Lepisosteus oculatus: one gene and its partners. The protein of the gene in region 1 interacts with the protein of each later gene in a biochemical or structural test. Links are inferred from orthologs where the notes say so. Each region holds a gene or a part of one and is shown in the gene's direction. Other genes may lie near its edges.

What was found.
Region 2: the proteins of mmp14a (region 1) and lum interact in a biophysical measurement, tested with the Homo sapiens proteins (2 studies listed by BioGRID and IntAct, with this or other methods). The link is inferred for Lepisosteus oculatus from reciprocal best matches to the Homo sapiens genes MMP14 and LUM.
Region 3: the proteins of mmp14a (region 1) and timp2a form a complex in vitro, tested with the Homo sapiens proteins (2 studies listed by BioGRID). The link is inferred for Lepisosteus oculatus from reciprocal best matches to the Homo sapiens genes MMP14 and TIMP2.

Annotation. Positions count from the first base shown.
Region 1 is NC_090699.1:13,065,828-13,072,927, forward strand, and holds the start of mmp14a (matrix metalloproteinase-14a), read left to right. Parts: upstream 1-4,000; 5' UTR 4,001-4,553; coding exon 4,554-4,667; intron 4,668-7,100.
Region 2 is NC_090702.1:16,445,504-16,453,387, forward strand, and holds the start of lum (lumican), read left to right. Parts: upstream 1-4,876; 5' UTR 4,877-5,017; intron 5,018-5,592; 5' UTR 5,593-5,715; intron 5,716-7,884.
Region 3 is NC_090704.1:41,266,085-41,273,123, forward strand, and holds the start of timp2a (metalloproteinase inhibitor 2a), read left to right. Parts: upstream 1-4,004; 5' UTR 4,005-4,501; coding exon 4,502-4,631; intron 4,632-7,039. UniProt on the Homo sapiens protein: Complexes with metalloproteinases (such as collagenases) and irreversibly inactivates them by binding to their catalytic zinc cofactor. Known to act on MMP-1, MMP-2, MMP-3, MMP-7, MMP-8, MMP-9, MMP-10, MMP-13, MMP-14, MMP-15, MMP-16 and MMP-19.

The DNA of each region.
Region 1 (7,100 bases):
CGACACGGCCCAGAGACCCCCGCAGGCGTGAGCCCCGCTTCCAACAGACCTCCAGCGACCCCGAGGCGCTTGTCCACCCGGCCGCGTCCCCGGCTCTGTCTCCTCGCCTCGTCCCGCTGGGCGGCCGTGTTGACGCAGGGCTGGGAGTTGGGACTTCCGTGTTCAGCTGTGAGCGCAGGAGTGACGGAGGAGGGAGAGAGAGAGAGACCTGCCCCACTTCTCCGGCACTCCCTCCCTCTCGGTGCGTAACTGTCCCTGGACAGGTCTAACTGTGTCCCGGCTGTGGTCACTGAGCCTGTCCTCTCTGGACAGTCAGGTCTGTCTGTGTCCAGTGTCTGTGTCCAGGCTGTGGTCACTGAGCCTGTCCTCTCTGGACAGTCAGGTCTGTCTGTGTCCAGTGTCTGTGTCCAGGCTGTGGTCACTGAGCCTGTCCACTCTGGACAGCCAGGTCTGCCTGTGTCCAGGCAATGGTCACTGAGCCTGTCCTCTCTGGTAAGCCAGGTCTGCCTGTGTCCAGTGTCTGTGTCCAGGCTGTGGTCACTGAGCCTGTCCTCTCTGGCAAGCCAGGTCTGCCTGTGTCCAGGCTGTGGTCATTGTCCAGACTCCTTTCTGCCCTCAGTCTTTGAGTGCAGGTGAAGCAGTCCCAGGTGAAGTACGTTATCTCATACACAGAGGGATTCTACTGAACCCTAAACAGACAATACACACTAGCTGAATATTTGACCAAGATAAGAAACAACAAACAGAAACAGACCCTGACGAAGTACAGGCTCAGTGACCACAGCCTGGCCATAGAAACTGGGCGACACAGGCAGACCTGGCTGTCCAGAGAGGACAGGCTCAGTGACCACAGCCTGGCCATAGAAACTGGACACAGACAGACCTGGCTGTCCAGAGAGGACAGGCTCAGTGACCACAGCCTGGACACAGAAACTGGACACAGACAGACTTGGCTGTCCAGAGAGGACAGGCTGTGCTCCCACTGCCAGCAGGGAGAAATAGAGACAGAGGTGCACTTCCTACTGCACTGTGACAGATACTCTGGGATTAGAGAAACATTCCCAGAGTTCCCACACCTGCCAGAATCACAACGGGTCCCAATCCTACTGGGAGAGGGAGGAGGGAACTCAGTTGAACTGGCAGCCCAGTGTGTGATCTCCTGTCACAGCCTGAGGAACAGTGAGTCTGTCTCCCAATAATGCTCAATATGTTTACAGTATACTTAAATATTTTATGATATGTCTTTGTTGTAAATGTCTGTAATATGTCTGTAGATTTTATTTTATTTTTTGTTTTGTTTCATGTGAATTTTATTAATTTTATTTGCTTTGGCAACACTGATTGTATCCATCGGTCATGCTAATAAAGCACCTCGAACTGAATTGAAAATTGAATTGCGTCTTCCTGTCTGCTAATTCAGAGCCCGCTCCCTGGCTCGAGACCGGACAGCTCTCAGCCGGCGACCCCACCTTTTCGACAGCCGGAGCAAAAGTTCACAAAAAGCGCCGCCAAAATAGAAAACAGAAAGACCTGGTGTACGGTCCGCTCGGTGGGTGACGTTGTGTTGTTGTATGGGACTGTGTGTAAGACACGTTACCCCCAGTGGATGAAACAGCTTCAACTACCCGGAGACTCAGAGTCCCGGACGGAGGCCGTGAAGCCCTGCTCTACTTACACACGGCCTCACGTCTGGGGGGGAGGAGGCGTGCGCACCCCCCAAATAACTACTGTTGGGGGACGTTCCCCACGGAGACGGGCGCCACCAGACTGAACCTCCGTGTGATACCCAGCCGTAACAGCAGGGGGCGCCCGCGCTCTATTCCAGAGGGCCCCGCTCGGCACCCGCGTCTCGGAGACTCCAGTGAAGTCGTAATGACTGCACTCCGCCGTCAGGACACTGGGCTTTCACGGGAAAGGAGCCAGGAAAGATTCCTGCAGACGGGAGTGCAGGACAGCACAGAACAGAGCATAGCAGAGTATAGCACAGTGTAGTAGAGTGTGGTTAATGCACAGTAGTGGAGAGAGAAATTAGGGATCAGAGAAACATTCTTCCCTAAATTTACAAATCTAATCCCAGAATTCCCACACCTGCCAGAATCACAACGGGTCCCAATCCTACTGGGAGCGGGAGGAGGGAACTCAGTTGAACTGGCAGCACAGTGTGTGATCTCCTGTCCCAGCCTGAGGAACAGACAGTGAGCCTGTCTCTCAATAATAATAATACAGTGTGTGATCTCCTGTCACAGCCTGAGGAACAGACAGTGAGCCTGTCTCTCAATAATAATAATACAGTGTGTGATCTCCTGTCACAGCCTGAGGAACAGACAGTGAGCCTGTCTCTCAATAATAATAATACAGTGTGTGATCTCCTGTCACAGCCTGAGGAACAGACAGTGAGCCCGTCTCTCAATAATAATAATACAGTGTGTGATCTCCTGTCACAGCCTGAGGAACAGTGAGCCTGTCTCTCAATAATAATAATACAGTGTGTGATCTCCTGTCACAGCCTGAGGAACAGACAGTGAGCCTGTCTCTCACTAATAATAATACAGTGTGTGATCTCCTGTCACAGCCTGAGGAACAGTGAGCCTGTCCCTCAATAATAATAATACAGTGTGTGATCTCATGTCACAGCCTGAGGAACAGACAGTGAGCCTGTCTCTCAATAATAATAATACAGTGTGTGATCTCCTGTCACAGCCTGAGGAACAGTGAGCCTGTCTCTCAATAATAATAATACAGTGTGTGATCTCCTGTCACAGCCTGAGGAACAGACAGTGAGCCTGTCTCTCAATAATTACAATACAGTGTGTGATCTCCTGTCACAGCCTGAGGAACAGACAGTGAGCCCGTCTCTCAATAATAATAATACAGTGTGTGATCTCCTGTCACAACCTGAGGAACAGACAGTGAGCCTGTCTCTCAGTAATGCACTGAGAGAGAGGGGTTAATACAGACACACTGACTGATTGGACACTCCAGTACATTAACACTGCACTGAGAGAGAGGGGTTCATACAGACACACTGACTGACTGGACACTCCAGTACATTAACACTGCACTGAGAGAGAGAGGTTCATACAGACACACTGACTGACTGGACACTCCAGTACATTAACACTGCACTGAGAGAGAGGGGTTCATACAGACACACTGACTGACTGGACACTCCAGTACATTAACACTGCACTGAGAGAGAGGGGTTCATACAGACACACTGACTGACTGGACACTCCAGTACATTAACACTGCACTGAGAGAGAGGGGTTCATACAGACACACTGACTGGACACTCCAGTCCATGAACACTGCACTGAGAGAGAGGGGTTCATACAGACACACTGACTGACTGGACACTCCAGTACATTAACACTGCACTGAGAGAGAGGGGTTCATACAGACACACTGACTGACTGGACACTCCAGTACATGAACACTGCACTGAGAGAGAGGGGTTCATACAGACACACTGACTGACTGGACACTCCAGTACATTAACACTGCACTGAGAGAGAGGGGTTCATACAGACACACTGACTGACTGGACACTCCAGTACATTAACACTGCACTGAGAGAGAGGGGTTCATACAGATACCCTGACTGGACACTCCAGTACATTAACACTGCACTGAGAGAGAGGGGTTCATACAGACACACTGACTGACTGGACACTCCAGTACATTAACACTGCACTGAGAGAGAGGGGTTCATACAGGTTTTGAACTCATAAACTCCTGCCTGCGAAGGCAGAGCGGAGCGCTGACCACCAGGTGGCGCCGCGGTGCGCCAATCTCTCCGCGTGTCTCCAAGCGACAGGCTGCTGATGTTCGCTGGCAGGAGTGGAGCTGGAGCACGGGGGGGAGAGAGGGAGAGGGAGAGGGAGAGGGAGGGAGAGAGGGAGAGGGAGGGAGAGAGGGAGAAGGAGGGAGGCACATCTGGACTGGGGGCTGGGCGAAACCAAACGGAAGTTTTTTTTTTTACTTTTCCTAGAGGCATCAAGACTTAGTGGGGACAGAAACACCACGTCTGCAGGAGAGAGAGAGAGGGAGGGAGGGAGAGGGAGACAGAACCCCAGGACGCCAGCGAGGAGCGAGCAAACAAAGGAAAGAGACGAGGAAAGACAGTCGGGGCCTCATTCCAGCGGCGGAGCTAACGGACTGTCTTCCCGGAGAAAAGAAAACACTCGCAAAAAACTTGTAGAACAACTTCTTTTCAAAAACACAGAAACAAAAGGGAAAAAAACCCTCTCTTTCAGGAGCTACAGAAAAGTTGACAACTTTTGCCTGAACTCGCCCGCAGAGCGCGCTCTCTCTCTCTCTCTCGGGTCTGCAGGCGAGCCCACGCGTGTCTCCCGCTCGCGTGACCGTGGCAGTCGAGGACAGCTGACGCAGGCGGGTTCGAGAAACCCTGCTAGGTCGCCACTTTTAGGAGACAGAAACAGAGCCCGATCGAGATCCAGCCTCGTCACCGAGGGCAGAGGAAGGAGGAGAGAGAGTCGGGACTCGCGGCGGACGAGGACACGCGAGGCGGGGATCCGGCGCGAGCGAGGAGGATGCCACGGCTCGAGGCGGCGCTGACCCGGCTGCTGTGGCTCGCGGTGGCCGGCGGGCTGTGCGCGCTCCCGGGGGCGCAGGGAGCGGCCGGCGGGCACGGGCTCAAAGCGGAGGTCAGTCGCTCTGCTTCCTGTCTCTCGCCGGGGGCGGTCAGACACGGGAGACCGGGGTCTCACAGCGGGCGGGCGGACTGGGAAAGCGATGTCATGAGACAGATAGAGGGCCAGAGGGCCAGACTGACAGGCTGACAGAGACAGATAGAGAAGGACAGACTGACAGGGACAGATAGAGAGGGACAGACTGACAGAGACAGAGGGCCAGGCTGACAGAGACAGAGAGAGAGGGCCAGGCTGACAGAGACAGATAGAGAGAGACAGAGACAGAGAGGGACAGACAGAGAGAGACAGACTGACGGGGACAGGGACAGAGGGCCACACTGACAGAGACAGATAGAGAGGGACAGAGACAGAGGGCCGCACTGACAGAGACAGATAGAGAGGGACAGAGACAGAGGGCCACACTGACAAGAGACAGATAGAGAGGGACAGAGACAGAGGGCCACACTGACAGAGACAGATAGAGAGGGACAGAGACAGAGGGCCACACTGACAGAGACAGATAGAGAGGGACAGAGACAGAGGGCCACACTGACAAGAGACAGATAGAGAGGGACAGAGACAGAGGAACAAACTGACAGAGACATAGAGAGGGACAGAGACAGAGAGGGACAGACTGACAGAGACAGATAGAGAGGGACAGAGACAGAGGGACAGAGAGAGAGAGGGGGGGGGACAGACTGATAGAGAAACAGAGAGAGACAGACTGACAGAGGGACAGAGAGAGACAGAGGGACAGACAGTGAGAGGGACAGAGGTAGACAGATACAGTGAGAGGGTTTTAGCTGGAGGCTGTGTTGCTGTGAGCAGAGGCAGGAGGAGGACTGGTTGAAGTTGTGGAGAGAGGAGAAGGGGAAGAGACAGGAATGTGAGGACTGTGTTGTTGTGGTCAGGAGAGGGAGGGGTAGAGGGGCTGAGAGAGGGGGATCTCTGCACTGGTTCTGTTAGTGTCTCTCCAGCAGGAGACACACAGAGAGAGAGAGGGATCTCTGCACTGGTTCTGTTAGTGTCTCTCCAGCAGGAGACACACACACACACAGAGAGGGGGATCTCTGCACTGGTTCTGTTAGTGTCTCTCCAGCAGGAGACACACACACACACACAGAGGGGGATCTCTGCACTGGTTCTGTTAGTGTCTCTCCAGCAGGAGACACACACACACACAGAGAGGGGGATCTCTGCACTGGTTCTGTTAGTGTCTCTCCAGCAGGAGACACACACACACACACAGAGGGGGATCTCTGCACTGGTTCTGTTAGTGTCTCTCCAGCAGGAGACACACACACACACAGAGAGGGGGATCTCTGCACTGGTTCTGTTAGTGTCTCTCCAGCAGGAGACACACACACACACACACAGAGGGGGATCTCTGCACTGGTTCTGTTAGTGTCTCTCCAGCAGGAGACACACACACACAGAGGGGGATCTCTGCACTGGTTCTGTTAGTGTCTCTCCAGCAGGAGACACACACACACACACAGAGAGAGAGAGGTATCTCTGCACTGGTTCTGTTAGTGTCTCTCCAGCAGGAGACACACACACAGAGAGGGGGATCTCTGCACTGGTTCTGTTAGTGTCTCTCCAGCAGGAGACACACACACAGAGAGGGGGATCTCTGCACTGGTTCTGTTAGTGTCTCTCCAGCAGGAGACACACAGAGAGGGAGATCTCTGCACTGGTTCTGTTAGTGTCTCTCCAGCAGGAGACACACACACACACACACAGAGGGGGATCTCTGCACTGGTTCTGTTAGTGTCTCTCCAGCAGGAGACACACACACACACAGAGAGAGAGAGGTATCTCTGCACTGGTTCTGTTAGTGTCTCTCCAGCAGGAGACACACACACAGAGAGGGAGATCTCTGCACTGGTTCTGTTAGTGTCTCTCCAGCAGGAGACACACACACACACACAGAGGGGGATCTCTGCACTGGTTCTGTTAGTGTCTCTCCAGCAGGAGACACACACACACAGACACACACACACAGAGGGGGATCTCTGCACTGGTACTGTTAGTGTCTCTCCAGCAGGAGACACACAGAGAGAGAGAGGGATCTCTGCACACTGGTTCTGTTAGTGTCTCTCCAGCAGGAGACACACAGAGAGAGAGAGGGATCTCTGCACTGGTTCTGTTAGTGTCTCTCCAGCAGGAGACACAGAGTGAGGAAGAAGAGAGAGAGAAGGAGGGAGAGGGAGGGATAGAGAGGGAAGCAGGAAGAGAAGGAGAGAGAGACGGAAAGCAGGTCATCACAAAGCCAGGAGATGCTCAATGGAGTTAAAGTGGACCTGGAAACACTTGTGTGGGGGGTGAGAAATGTGCTGAGGTGCTTTTTCACAACAAATCTTGGTCCAGTCCTCTCCGTACACACGCTGTCTGAGAGTCCAGTCCTCTCTGCAGACACGCAGTCTGAGAGTCCAGTCCTCTCCATTC
Region 2 (7,884 bases), on another chromosome or scaffold:
ATTTACATAATTTTTAATTATTCAATTTTTAATTCCCAATTTTTCAGTGCACACAACATATTCCCAGGGTTATATGGTTATATGTACCACAGTTTTAAGTACCACAGTTTTAAACCACTGGATTAAAGCATTGCAGCAAAGCTAGAAAATCCTTAGCTAAATTGGAAGACTATGAATCCACTGTATGTAGTAGTAAATAAACACTATTACTGTATATTCCAACAGTATATTTATTGAGAACACAAAATATGGAAGAAAGGGACCAGTGGTGACAAAAGGAAAATATTTTAGTTTTTTTAATTGAACTAGTGACTTTTGCTTGTGCATCTTTGTGCCATTTGCTTTTCTTTTATTACTCTACCCACTGGGGCCCATGCTCTCTTTAAACAAATTTCCACCTTCTGGAGCACCATGGACAAAGGTGGTTTAATTTAGTGCAGACCTTTCTTTGTAGTGCACTTCTTTTCCTCGAACTTAATAAATTATTGCTCTGAAAAAATAACTATAAAGAATGTCAGTGAGGTTTTTTATGTGCAACATTGTTCTTCTGATTAGAAGACTGGACTTTTTTCTCTTTTAATCATTTTAACAACTTTTGATACTGTGGAGTGTTTGTTTTACACCATCGTTTGAGTACAACGTAACTAGATTTGACATGAATATGTTATGTGATTGAAAGGGCTTGTAGGACACCATACAGTTTCAATTTATCAGCTTCTTCATCTGACTCACTTCCAAATTATTGGTACCATTGATAAAGATGAGCAAGCATATGCTGTATAAAATAAATACGTGTAATAAGTGAAATTTTATGCTCAAAAATATAAAGAAACTACATTCTCTAGTGTATAGTGAGGAGGCAAAGGAAATTGTAAGGTCCAGAGGAGACGTGCTGACCTTACGTTACATCTAGGGACCACCAACTATCCAAAACTGCAGTTAGATGACGCCTCCATGCCAATAGATTATTTGGAATGTATAACAGAAAAAAAGATCCAAGAGAGTTCCAAGAGGTCCAAGGCTAGAGGTCGGAATGCGGGTTAAGCAAGGCAAACAAATCCAAAAAAGGGCGAGACGAAAGGGTTGTCGAAAGGTCCCAAGTGTCAGTGGTCAGACATTTGAGGACGAAGCAAGCTCAGGAGGCGGATAGATTCCTAATAACAAGCGAGGACTAGGAGTGAACGGAGGGTTTAAATAGTGAAGGAAGAAGAGATTGAATAATGAGGATTAATTGATGCCGGCTGTGCTTGTGACAAACAAATGTGTTGGAGTTTGCTAAACAGCCTCAGTAGTAGATTTGAACTGGGTGCTATGGTCAGCTGAGATGAAAAAAGAGCTGTATGGGCTGTACAGCAGCGGTGGATCCTACATCAACAGAAGGATACATATACAGAAAAGAACATAATAATCATTTTATTTGTTTAGAACCTTTCTACATTAAAATGCAGCTCAAATTGCTTTACATAGTGAGCATAAAATAACACAAAATATGAGAGGATACATAAAAGAATATGATAATAACAGTAATAGCAGATATAAAAATAAATGGAGTTTATAACTAAAGTTCAGGAGGGATGACAACGACCACGCTCAGTCGTACTCAGCTGTCAGTAATTAACAATCACTCCCATCACTCCCTCACGTACGACTTTTGCATCCCACCTCCACCCCAGCTCCACCTCCATAGCTACCCCTTGGTTACCCTGCGTGGGGGTCCTGGCCTCCTTGTCCTATGGCCAGGAGGTCGACCCTCAGTCAAGCGAGTTAAGCCAATATCTGCTCCATAATAGTTCATCACACTTTGATCTTCGGTGTAAAATTCCTAGTGAAATAGTAAAAACAAGAAATTAAAGAAAAATTGTATTGATGCAAAAGAAAAAGATTAAAGATAATTAAGAAAAATAAAATGTCAACATAAAATACAAGGGAAAAATATAATTAAAGCCAGCAGCTACAGCAGTATATCACCCTAGATATAAGGTGATATAACTCTCTATAGACATAACTGGCAGCCTACTGAAACTAAGCAGGTGTGAGTCTGGCCAGTACCTGGATGGAATACCTTCTGAAAAAAGCTAATATTGGTGTTGGAAGAGGTGTTAGTGGGGCCAGCAGGGGGAGCTCAACCTGTGGTTTGTGTGGCTTCCACCCCAATATAGAGACAGAGACACTATACTGTAAAAGGGCGCTGTCCTTCTGATGAGACATAAAACTGAGGACCTGACTTTCTGTGGCCATTAAAAATCCCAGGGTGTTTCTAAAAAATTGTGGGGTGTTACCTCGGCGTCCTGACCAAATTGCCCCCTGGCCTTTAGCACTTATTATCTCCTAATAATCTCCATCTATGAATTGGCTTTATCACTTTGTTCTCCAATTATAGCTGATGTGTGGTGAACATTCTGCCACATTATGGCTGCCATCACATCATCATGGTGGATGCTGCAAATTGGTGGTGGTGGAGGGGAGTCCCCATTACCTGTAAAGTGCTTTGAGTGAAGTATCCAGAAAAAATATTATTTATATAATATCATCTTCTTCTTTAATACATATACTCTATATGCTGGACAGGACACATACTATAATTACACATAATACTATATTATATGGTTAAAAAAATAAAGTTCATATTTTTATTTGAAATTACATATTTATAAGATGAATTTTATGGGGGAAAACATGTCAGTTTTTATAAGATTTCAAAGAGGATCTATTAGAATTAGCTAAGATAAGAAATATTGTCTGAGACAAATGTGTTATACGATTAGATAAGTATTAAACCATTTTAAGGCAGTTTCAGAGATACGATTCCAGTTTTCTAGGTGTTTCAGGAGTATACAGGGTCTATAGTGTTTAATCCTACACGGAAATCTAAAAGTACAGAATTGAGACATCGTCAGCATGCAGTCTCAGATCATTTACCACTTTTACTATTTGCAGTTTTGGTGCTATGACAAGATTTTCAGGAATATTTTGTTTATACAGGAAGTCATTTAAACACTACCTTTTCTAAGATTTTGCCAGAAAATGCAAGCTAGAAATGCTCAAAATTAAGAAGTCAAAATTACTTTTCTTAAGCAGGGGTTTGACTAGAGCAGTTTTAAGTTCTTCAGAAAAATACCTCTTTCTAAGGAACAGTTCAAAATACCTAGTACACTATTAGACTATCTAAGACGTCTTTAAATAAAAATGTTGGAATCAGATCAAGAGAGCAGGTTGAAGAATTTAGCTTTGAGACAATGAATGTAGTCACAGCATACCAAGGTTAAGTAACTGTAGGATTATATGCTAGTTCAGATGGAGTGGCTTATACTAGATTGAATGTTTGTAGTTTTCTTATCATAAACAACACAAACCTCTCACATTTTGATGAAGACACCAGGATAACCCAATCAGTGGGGGGTGATGAGTTTAATAGGCGATCAATAGTAAAGAATAATACTCTTGGATTTCTACCACTATCATTAATGATCCTTGAGAAGTACAGCTGCCTTTCAGTAGTATTTCCTTGTTATATATGTCTATGCACATTTTAAGTATTTCTTTGTGAACTATTAATTTGGTAATGAAAAATATGGTGGTGAATCAGAGCTATTATGTGACTATTTTGCTTCTACTTATTCCTGGGCCCTTGTTAAGGTCATCAACATCATGAATTCTACCAAATACCAAGATATTTGTCTGGCAGTGAAATGTCTTAGGGGTAGGCTAATGACCCAAAGCACATATTAAAATCCATAAAGAAATGGTGAGACAACTATAAATTAACATTTTAAAATCTCAGTCTCTGGACCAACTGAAAACCTGAATTAAAGAGGGCTGTCCATAAGCCCAGACCCAAGGATATAAAGAATCTGGAATGATTCTGTATGGAAGAATGGGGGTGTATAAGATCCCTCCCAATATGTTCTCCAGTCTCATAAAACATTATTGGAAATGGTTCAGTGCTATTATCATGCAAAAGGAAGGTTACACAAAGTACTGAAAGCAGGGGTACCAATAATTGTTACACTTATTTTTTCGGATATCAATTTTATAATTTGAGAAATGTGGAATTTAGCTTTCTACCATTGAATCATTAACAAAGTCAAAATATACAGCATTCTGCAAGTTGGAAAATTTAAACATAGCTCATTACCTGTGATGTTTATTTTATACAGACTTTTAAGCTCATCTTTATGAGGTGACGATAATTTTGGACATACTGTATGTATTACTAAAAGGAATTGTGATCAGTGGACTAGGCAGGTGTTCATAAGCCAATACTGAATCATAACAACCTATGTTTGAGACGTTTTGTTGTCGTTTTTCATTACAAAACTATAAATGCAGTGAATAATTTAATAATTAATATAATACTGTATATCTTTTTCTAAATATGTTTTAATTGTTTCCGTCCATTATTACTATTGAATAAGTAGCTTTGAAAGCAAGTGTAATTTCTTTGATTAAACATTCTCATAGCAAAAAAAGCATAAAAAATGAATACAGACTTTGCAAATTTTGTCATCACCATAGAAATTCATTTTTAGTCTCAGATTAAAATAAATTTACAGTATAATGAAATGAAACATCTTTTAACATTGAAGGTATATTGTAAAGAATAATATACTTTGACTCACAGTTTTCTAAATTTGCTAGAGAATGAGGTTAGCTGTAGAGGTTCACATTTGCATCTGAAGATTTAACACCCAGCACTCAAGCCTGCATTCTTGTTTGGCATGCATGAAAAAAAAGAGAAATGGGCTATACTCAATTGATTCCAGACGTCAGTAACATTTGGGATAGAGGGGGGAGGGTATGAAGACAGGGGGAGGAGGGGGAAGAGAAACATCTTCAAAAAACAGAGTTCTCCCTATCAAAATCAAAAACTAACCTTTGCCATTGTTTCATTATTCCTGATGAAGTGCAGGGTAAAACTGCAGTTTAGAGTCAGATGCTGCTGATAATGAATATGGGCCTTTTGATGTGAAAGAAGATGAAAAGAAACTGAGATGTGTTGATTTATGTTTTGCCATCTGTAAGTTATTGGACATGGTCCATACCTTGTTTCTCCATGGAAGGTATTACGTCTTCAAAATAGAGAAGAAGGGAAAAATAAAGATTTTGGAAGTTAATAGTATTAGTATTAATTTTAGTTAGCCCATTCTGTCTTTTTTTAAATACAATTCTCAGCTTTGACTGCTGAATTATGTTTCTCTAAGCCATAGGCTGTTGGCTCCCAGTAAAGGCATCAGCTGATTTTTTTTCACCTTTTTCCATTTTTTAAACTATTGTTTGATTTTTCTGGAAAGGTGATTAAGAGGCTTACGGAAGTTTGTGAGGCTGCTTTTTTTAGCACACAGATAAATTATTTTATGTTTCTTCGAACTAATTGAAGTTTCACTAAAAAAGAACAGATGCAGCCAGGTATGCATATGTAATTCCTCTCTTATAAGACACTGAAGAATCATCGCGGTAGCAGATGTGTGACCCTTGTGCACCTGCATTTCGTTAGTGAGCCATATTTTTCTTATGCCACACCGTAAGCCCATATTGATGACATAGCAGCTTTATAGTGCTGCGTGACTACATTTGGTTGCTGTGTTTTGTTAGCTCAGGACCACAGAGGTCTGGCACGGGCTGCTTGCTTCCTCCTAAGCCCCTATTCCGACAACGAACGCTACCTTACTGCTCCTGAAGTTGGGATATCAGACACACCATAGAGGTGCAAAGAAGGTAAGTGCTTTTGCAAACGTGTCCTGCAGTTTATGGGTACTTTTTTTCTTATTCCCATCTGAAACTCAGAATGCAGATGGACTGTGGATTGAAAAAAAAACCACTGCAACTCCTCTGTAACTACAGACTGCAGTGTGTAGCAGTGTATAAAGGTGTAACATGTAAATGGAAAAGTTACATATTGGAGTTCCAGTTGTACTTATGTTTTATAATTTAGATAGCAAAATATGTTGACTTTAGTTTCTAACTAGTATTTTTGACAGGTTTTAAAAGACGTTTGCAATCTTAAGCATTTTATGTAGGTAATCTATAGATGCTTCACGTTTGTCTCAGACAATATTTCTTGTCTTATCTAATTCTGATAGATCTTCTTTGAAATCTTAAATATAAATATATTTATAAAAAACTGGCATGCTTTTTTTTTCATAAAATCAGCTTATAAACGTGGACTTTTTTATAATTTATAATATGAGCTTTATTTTTTTACACTTATAGTCTTATGTGTAATTATAATATGTGTCCTGTCCAGCATATAGAGTATATGCATTTAGGAAGAAGATGATGCTACTCATATCTATTGTTTATCTTTGCTTTCAGCATATTATCTACATATACTGTACATGAAATGTGAATGCCCAGAAAGGTTTAGAAAATTCTATTACTTTTTGCCAGAGTTTGGAAAAGTTAACAGGTCCATCTGACTGTTTTATGTGTAGCTTCAGGGGATGTCTATGATTACTGCAGGTGTTCAGACACAAGTCAAATTACTGTTCTGGTCTTATACTGTAAGGTAGTTTTATGGTTTAACATAGCAACATTATAATTGTTTTTCTTATTTTCATTTGCAATGAACTAGAGACAAGGGGCATCAGATCCATCTGCTTTTCTTAAACAAGGCAGAGAACTTTGTCATTATTACCATGTTAAAACCATAGTAGAACACAGGTAAACATTGCAAGTGCTTCAGATGGTCACAGAGCTCATTAAATATATGGTGCAGAAACAAACTTAAAGTTTTACACTTGTATGCATATTATAACATATTTGATCCTAACTTTTGCGAATATATTTTTATATTATTGATCATTAGGTGTATCAGCAGAACATCAAATGAATGTGCTGTGCTTGGCAAGTGATTGACAGAGATTTTGATGATGATGAGCATCTCTGTTTGGAGCTCTGGCTCTTTTTTTTCAGAAGCCCTGCAGGCTTTAAGTTCTTGAAACACAAGCCACTGTATATCTATCTGAGGCTCCAATAATGGGCTTGTACTTGTAGACTGCATTTTTTGCTACTGTCAGTCACAAAAATGTAGAACAATTTTTACCATAAATAGCAAATTTGGCTTATAACAGCCTATGACTTTTAAGAAACTGTAAAGTACTTCCAGTCTGATGTAGCTGAGTGATGAAACATGTATAGAAAAATATATATTTAGAGGTTGAATTAATGTACTGGATATACTGTATATAATTTATTCTTTTTAGTTCTAACAGCTTTTGCTTTTATTGAAATGCATGTTTGATAAGAAATCAGAAATTACACTAATGAGGACTATTTAGTATGTAGGGAAACAATCTTACTTCTGAACCCTTGGGTTCAGTTCCAGTCTTATAATTATTAAGGCCTCATGACTCATTAATAGGAAACATATTCTCAAGACGTCACAAAATGTTTTTAGTGGCAGGAGCACAGCTATGGATAACAATAAAGAACTATAGAAATAATAAGAAAAGGTGTGCGAAAGATTTGCTTATTTCAATGAATTGTTAACCAAAATAAAATCATTTAATATTGTTTATACAGTACACATATAATATAATCAATTATGCAAACAAGTAAATTAAAAATAAATATCCACGATGAGCACATTCATATTGCTTGATTGTGATATTGAACCAGCAGCAGTAGTAGTAATAACAACAATAATAATTTTATTATTAATAGTGATGAAAGTGATCACTTAAAAATGTATGATTTGCAAAGACTATACACCTCAACTTTTCATGACCTTTACACTGAAAAATTAAAAAAAACAGTTTTATGTATCATTCAATATTTTCAACCCATTGCACGATGTACAACTAAGTTGGCAGGCTTTAGGATACTGTGTAACTGGAAGCAATATACAGTTTTTTTTTTCAACAGAAATGAGGTCCTAGAACTATC
Region 3 (7,039 bases), on another chromosome or scaffold:
GTTCAAATGTACTTGAAGTCACTTCAGAGGGTTTCAGGAAGTGGACTCTCAGTGCGGTCATCATACACTCGTCTCCCATGTAGACCACATCAGTGTGATACAGACATGGGAGCCAGGCTAAATGTTTGTGTATTGGGGCTCAGCCTTCCTGCGCAAATATAAATAAGTGCGGGAAAGATGTGGGTTTGGCTCTGTGGGTCTTAAAAGCAAAATTGTGTTGGCATATTTTCCCCTGGATGTGTCATTTCCTTTCATTAATTGTACTGCTTGCATCGATCGGCAGATTTCACCGGAGAGTCTCAGCTGTCCATCACAAAACAAAGACTGGCCAGCCCTGTGTAACAACAGCACTTTCACGTAATTGGCCTTATTCAGCTTTACTGTGCGGTGCTGTCAGATCTATCGTAGATCAGACAAAGAGCTCGAGATAAAGGGAAAGTCTAGACAGCCTGCATAAACCTGTGGGTTTTAAATCTTGTCATTGAAGGCTTGACTGAAAATAACTTTGCCAAGATGTCCTTGACAAGTGATGTACTGTACAGTAGCTGACAAAGGTATGCTCCCATAAGACAGACAGGCTTCCACAAATCTCATTTAGGAGAATTTCTGAAGAACCTCCCATGCAAAGGATAACAATTTGTATGGAAGTATACAGAATCTTCTGTCAGTCATCTCCAGTGCTTTGCAAAGATTTTCACCCCCTGCCAGCGACAGCCCAAAAGGGTGAGTTGCAAAATCATGTGCTGTGTGCGCTTTCTTAAAGTGAGTATTTTTTACTTGAACCTTGAACACTCAAACTTAACGCCTTTTGGTGGAGAAAGATGTCGAACATGAGCAAAATCTGCAAAAAAAAGCCAAACTATGATAAACCTTGTTCACAAGGCTGCTGGAAAAGAGAAACGTCTTGGGTGACTTCACGTTTGTTTTAAACATTTTTTGGGGGAGCAACTTCACCTGAACAACAGTGATCTGGGGCTGAAGCTCTGGTGGATTTCTAGGCTTATAGAGGTCACATATGATATATCTTTTGTTTGATATGTAATTTTCATGTTGTACTTTCTAGCTCTAGGGACTCTGATATTTTTCTATAGATAACTATAGTTGAAGCTCATAAATATTATGTATTTGGGGATTAGGTTCGTTTTAAGTCAAAATAAAACTTTAGAGCTTGGGTATATTCCCACATCATTGCAGCCTCATCATTTACACACACGGAAGGATGTTTATAAAAGTTTACCATGGAACACTTGACACATGTTTGTGGCTTTATAATGCTGATGCCATGCAGTTCCCTTGCTCAGCCAGAGGTTGGCCTATACCACGCTTCCTCAAGCTTTGCAGCAATATTCCTGTGCTTTACCAGACCACACTCCAGTTTGAGCTATAGTATATCTCAATTGGGAGTAATAATGTTGCAAGTTTATATGAGATTGCGTTCCTGCTTATTTTTGCCATTTTAGGAGGAAGCACCAGAATTGGAATAGATAAGTGTATACAGCGATACCCCCAGAAACTGCAAGAATGCTGAGCAACATATTTGCTGTGCTTTACTTCTGCTGGTCACACCTGTCACTATTGTACTACCATGCTGGGCTGTGCCGGACATTTCTCAGATTAAAGCCCCAGTGCGTTCATCCATCCACTTTCTATCCAATACAGGGTCATGTGGGAGCCAGAACCTGTTTCAGCAAGCAACAGGCGCAAGGCAGACACCAGCACACACTCACACTTGGGCATCATTTTTCCAGAAGCCAGTTAACCTACCACGATGTATTTGGACTGTGGGAGGAAACCAGAGCACGCAGAGGAAGCACAGGGAGAACATACATACTCTACACAGATAGCACTGCAGGAATTGAACTCAGGGCTCCCGCTGACCACTGTGCCACAGTGCCACCCTGCCAGTGCATGTGTGACATTCTTTTTTGCCCCACCGTAGATTGGGTTATTTAATAAAGATCCAAGAAGACTATAATCTAGCACTTCCACTCTCCTATGTATAAATAATAGCCAGCTGCCCACAGCTCTGTGCGCCTCTTTTCTAGCTCAACTCCACCCCAACTGCACCCTTGCAGCTGTCTCCCTAGTTCATTCCTCATACATAAGGGAGGTTGCGACAGCAGTGATCTTTGGCTAGGAGGAGTATTAAGCACATTATTCCTGTCTATACATCGGCTCATTTGGTCTTAATAAGAATTTCAAGAAACTACTGAAATGTAGTTTGTTGGATATGGAATAAGGTTATGGAACTTATGTATGGAATGTTTGTCACAAGCGAGCAGCAAACTCTGGAATATAGTGTGGTGTTCTACGAGACAAGATACTCATAACCACGTGATGCAGTTCAGTAATGGACAGCAACTGTTTTTTATTAACTTGCAGAACAGTGGGGGGGGGGGGGGGTTGACTTAGTGGAGTTTTTAAAGGGCTTCTCTGTGCAGAATTAAAGAACTTTGAATACTCATTGTGGCTGAGTCCTGTTTAAGCACTAAATGGTAAAAAAAAAAAACTAAATAACAGAAAAACTGCGGAAATGCTTTCCCAGAAGCCCAAGGCAGTCACTATAGTGCTGCCAAGAATAATGTCAGTGATGTAATGGAGGAGCTGCAAATACGCACTATATTTTCCAAATTATTTCTTATTATTATTCCTGTTGTTTTCATTACTTGCATTCTAACCATGGGTCTCAGAACAGAATTTTGGGATTTTGTTTTTTGGGGGGGGGGGGGGTTAGTCTAATTGCTGGGAATTTCAAGTAAAGACAGGAATGTTGGTTTATAGGGAAGAAGGAAATGCCTAAAGGACATAACCATAATGTTTTATTCAGCAAGACAAAAATAAATCACCAAAGAAAGAACTGAACCCAGATTGAAGCGATTGTCTTTAATGGGATGATGTCACCTCTTTCTGTGTTGCTGTGCCATTCTGTGGTATTTTGTCCCAGAAGCTGTCTCGGCTGCTGAAGTCTTGCAGTCACTGTGAAGCTTTGGGCAAACTTTGCTACTGTATAAGGGATACTGTTACTCACAATAATGCATCTGGAATTCAGCAATCCCATTCCACAGACAGACACTTTAAAGGAGGTGCAGTTGAAGAGAATCAGTCTTTCACTCAGTGAATCTCAACAGCTAATGCCTCCATGCTTTTTTTAAAAAAATCCTACAGAACGAAGCCAGACAGCAGGGGGATGATGGTGATAGTCAATAGGATCTTGGGGTTCTTCCTGCATCAGAAGCAAACCCCCAAGGCTATCTCCCACTCTCCAAGAGATTTTTTGTGGCCATACTGAAACATTTTGAGTGATCGTGACAGCTGTCCCAAGAGGCAAACCACTTCTGCAGTTGGAACAGTCATTCCTCTTTCATCATTTTATTGAGCAGGGGATGAAGAACTTAAAATTGAAGATGAAAAGCTGTAAATACCACACAATCTCTGTCTGAGCTGCGGCACCTAACTTTCCGCGGTGTGAATCATGTTGATTCCATTCGTACTCCCAGATATACTCAGTTTAGGACCATAAGAGTGTCTGGACAGCCTGTCTGAGTCTTGGGAATCTGAGTGTCCGAGTAAGGCCTAGAACCATGCTCAGTCTTTTCTGAGCAAGTGGAAAACTAAAGATCAGGAAAGAACCTACAGCAGATGCTTAGGCCTTGAGCCCCATCGAAACCCTGCACAACTGACACTCCCACGGTTCTAAAATTCCTTTATGGTTTGAATTGAGATTAAATAACACATTTCTGAAGCTGAAGCGACTGTAGTGCGTTTTTAATTTTCATTTCTACATTCTGCTTCAAGAGCATTTAAATGAGACACCCCCCCAGTCCCTCGGAGTAAATATTATCGCGCGTATTGGACATTTTCAAGTTTAAAGCAGAACTGTCACGCCTCATGTGCTATTTCGAAAGCTCTGTAGTTTTTTTTTAATGCAGTGAATACACGAATGAGCCCGTTTCCGCAAGCCTTCTTTAATAAAACGGTCGCATACGGTGATATTACAATAGTTGGCGGCTCCGAAACGCGTAAACAAATGCTGGGAGTTGAGCACAGGGGGAACACGAGCAGACGAGAGCTATCTGTGGTGCAAGCCCAGCGCCCCCGACTACTGAATGGGAGGAGCCCCAACAGCAAACCATAAAAAAAATGAGGCTGATCTCAGCGAAAAGGAAACAGACAGACCCGTAGAAGGAGAGTGTTGAGGAAAGGCGGCTTGAGAGAAAATACTGGTAGTGGTCGCGTTTCCCCACCTCCCCTACGGCGCTGCTCAGTCCTGGTGAATTTCTGCACAGAACTGTCGACTGCAACCTCTCTTCTCAACTGCTGCTCGAAAACAGCAACTTCGCTCGTATTTATTACTCTTTGTTGTAAAAAAAAGAGAGAGAGAACCCGAACATTTTTTAAGACGGGCTTTTTTTTTTGTTTGTTGTTGTTGTTGTTGTTTCTCTGCGATCCGTAGACGTCAGGTTTTTCTTCTGCGAGGTGGTGACGAAGCGAGGAGACCAAAATGAGTTGTACTGTTAGCAGTTTCTTCGCCACTCTGGCGGTGCTGCTTCTGTGGCGAGTGAAAGAAATAGCGGAAGGTTGCAGCTGCTCACCCGTCCACCCACAACAGGCTTTTTGCAATGCAGATGTAGGTAAGATCACGTTCTGATTTACTTCTATATTCGCGCAGATGAATGTGACACGTTTCCACGCTCCTGTAACCCGCTAGGTAGCGGTCTGTTGTATTAATTGTTTTAAGCTGTGACAGTGTCGGAATGCAATCCACAATCCACAATCCACAATCCACAAGTTCAGATTCAGTCAGGATCGTTTAGTTTGCGTGATGTCTGGATGCCATCTGAAACAAACGCACTGGGCATTTCCCCACTCGCGAAATATCGAACCCAACTTTTAACTTGTGAGATGCATCTAAATTAACTGTAACGTTAATCTCTGTGAGAGAACCGCGTTTTTTTTTGGGGGGGGGGGTTGTTACCTGAGGTGGGGTGCGTTACACGAACTCCTGCTGTTGTCGATTTTGTTATTTTAAAACGGATTCATTCGCGGGGGACGCGTCAAGAGGGGTCAAGATCAACTGCCTCGCCACTAAACGTACAACTGGCAAGTTTAAGTCACGAAGCCACCTGTAACGGTGATGTCGGGGTGTTTTCAACAGGACAGGTTTAATGCATCCCAGAAGACTGGGTATGTCTCTACCTGTCTCTTAGCCTTGCCTCTTTTTAAAATGGACTGCGTTACGAAACGCCTCAAGTGCCCAAAACGTTTGCAGTGCACGTTAAGATATTTTAATGAGTCGCAGATATGATGGACGTTTTCTTTGCTGTCGGACCGATTTCTTAGATCTCGATTACTATTGTTCACGTAAAAATGTAGCGCACAAAAACAATCACACACACAGAGAGAGAGAGAGCCTATATAAATGTGTCTCGTATGTTGTAACTCATTGTAGTGGTTAGTATTTTGCTACCGATGTCAAATCGTGATTCGCGAACTGCGATAGTCGTCTGATACAGGAAGTCCTAGAAAGAAAACTCTGGAAAAGTTTGCAAGGTCTCTGGTAAACAATGTATTCCGTTTGCGTCCTTTTAAGTCCAACTTCCCAGATTCGCACTGTCATTGTGTGTTCATTTCCAAATATTTACCCCCACCACAATATGAGCCTGAAGTTGTGAAGGTGTTGGTAAACAAATAAAAACGGCCAATGTCGATTTTTACAGATTTTGCACATTTTTGTAATGGACATTTGTAAACAAATTGGTAAGATCACATCTTTGTTTATCATCGCTTATGGAAAACTCCCCCATGCCTGTCATATCTGCCCTGTTTCGTGTAGACGTGTTTGCCGGGATCTGGTGGGGTGTTTGTGTTTTGGGTGACTGTCCGCCGTCTGGCTTGGCTGTTTCATTCAGTGTCGGGCAAGTCGACAACTCGCGTCCCTCACTCGTTACGTCTTCAAATCGTTCAGGTTTCCTGTTTTCGGTAGAAGGGATTCTCGGGGAGCTGTTGAAATGGAGCTGCGTGTAACATGTAAAACGGTCAAGATTTTGAAATCCCTATACCCCCCCCTCGCCAATCAGCGAACTACCCCTGGTGCTGTCCTCGTAAAAGGAATGCTAATTAGGTCTGCGAGACTCGTGGAAAACAGCAGTTAGCGTTTATGTTTTGCGGTTATGCTAATTTGCAATAATCTATCCATATCTTTTTTGAGTGTGGAGTTGGTCGGGATCTGTACTGGATTTGTTCAGATAGGCCTGCATGTTGCAGTTGCCCTGGGATTCTCTGGTGGTTTGGGCCTGAACTATGCGGATTTCAGCCCGTGGATAAATGAGCTGCGCATTTCAAGCGCTCCTGAATGACGGCGCACATCCCAGTTTTGTGAAAGCGCACGTCGCTTGACTTTCTGATTAACAGCTACGGAAAGCAGGCACGGCGACCGTGGGGAGTGAATGTGTGTGTGTGTCCCAGTCTGAAGGTTGCTTATAATTAAACACCGAAGGGTTTAACTTCATTTTAAAAACGATTTCAACTAGAAGACCGTGACATGACATATATAAGTTTGATTTGCATTTGTGCTTTTACGAATATGACGCTGCGTGTTGTTACTACTACATAAGACGTTTTTGTCATTGCCCCCCTTTGTCTTTGAGGTTGCCTTGGTGGGGAGTCGGTGTGCTTCACTTAGGGAAATTATGGAAAAGTGACGTTACGGGTTCAGCTGGTGATCTGCTGAAACTGTAAAGGCGGGATAGGTCCAACAGCTGAAATTAAATCCCCTGATGTGTCACTGGTTACTTGTGACTGAATCATTGCTGGGCGTATCTTGGCTTTGTAATTCAGTTCCTTTTGATTTCAAATGTCAGGCATGTGCTAATTACAAACAGATCACTAGTGCTATTGACAGTTTTGATGGCTCTTTTTGTGCTTAAAATGTACTTTTATGTTGCTAAAAATGGGCATTTCTGAAAAGCAAGGCTCCCACAGAACAGATATATCACAGGATATGAATAATCACCTAAGATGCAGCTCGTATGCCAAATAC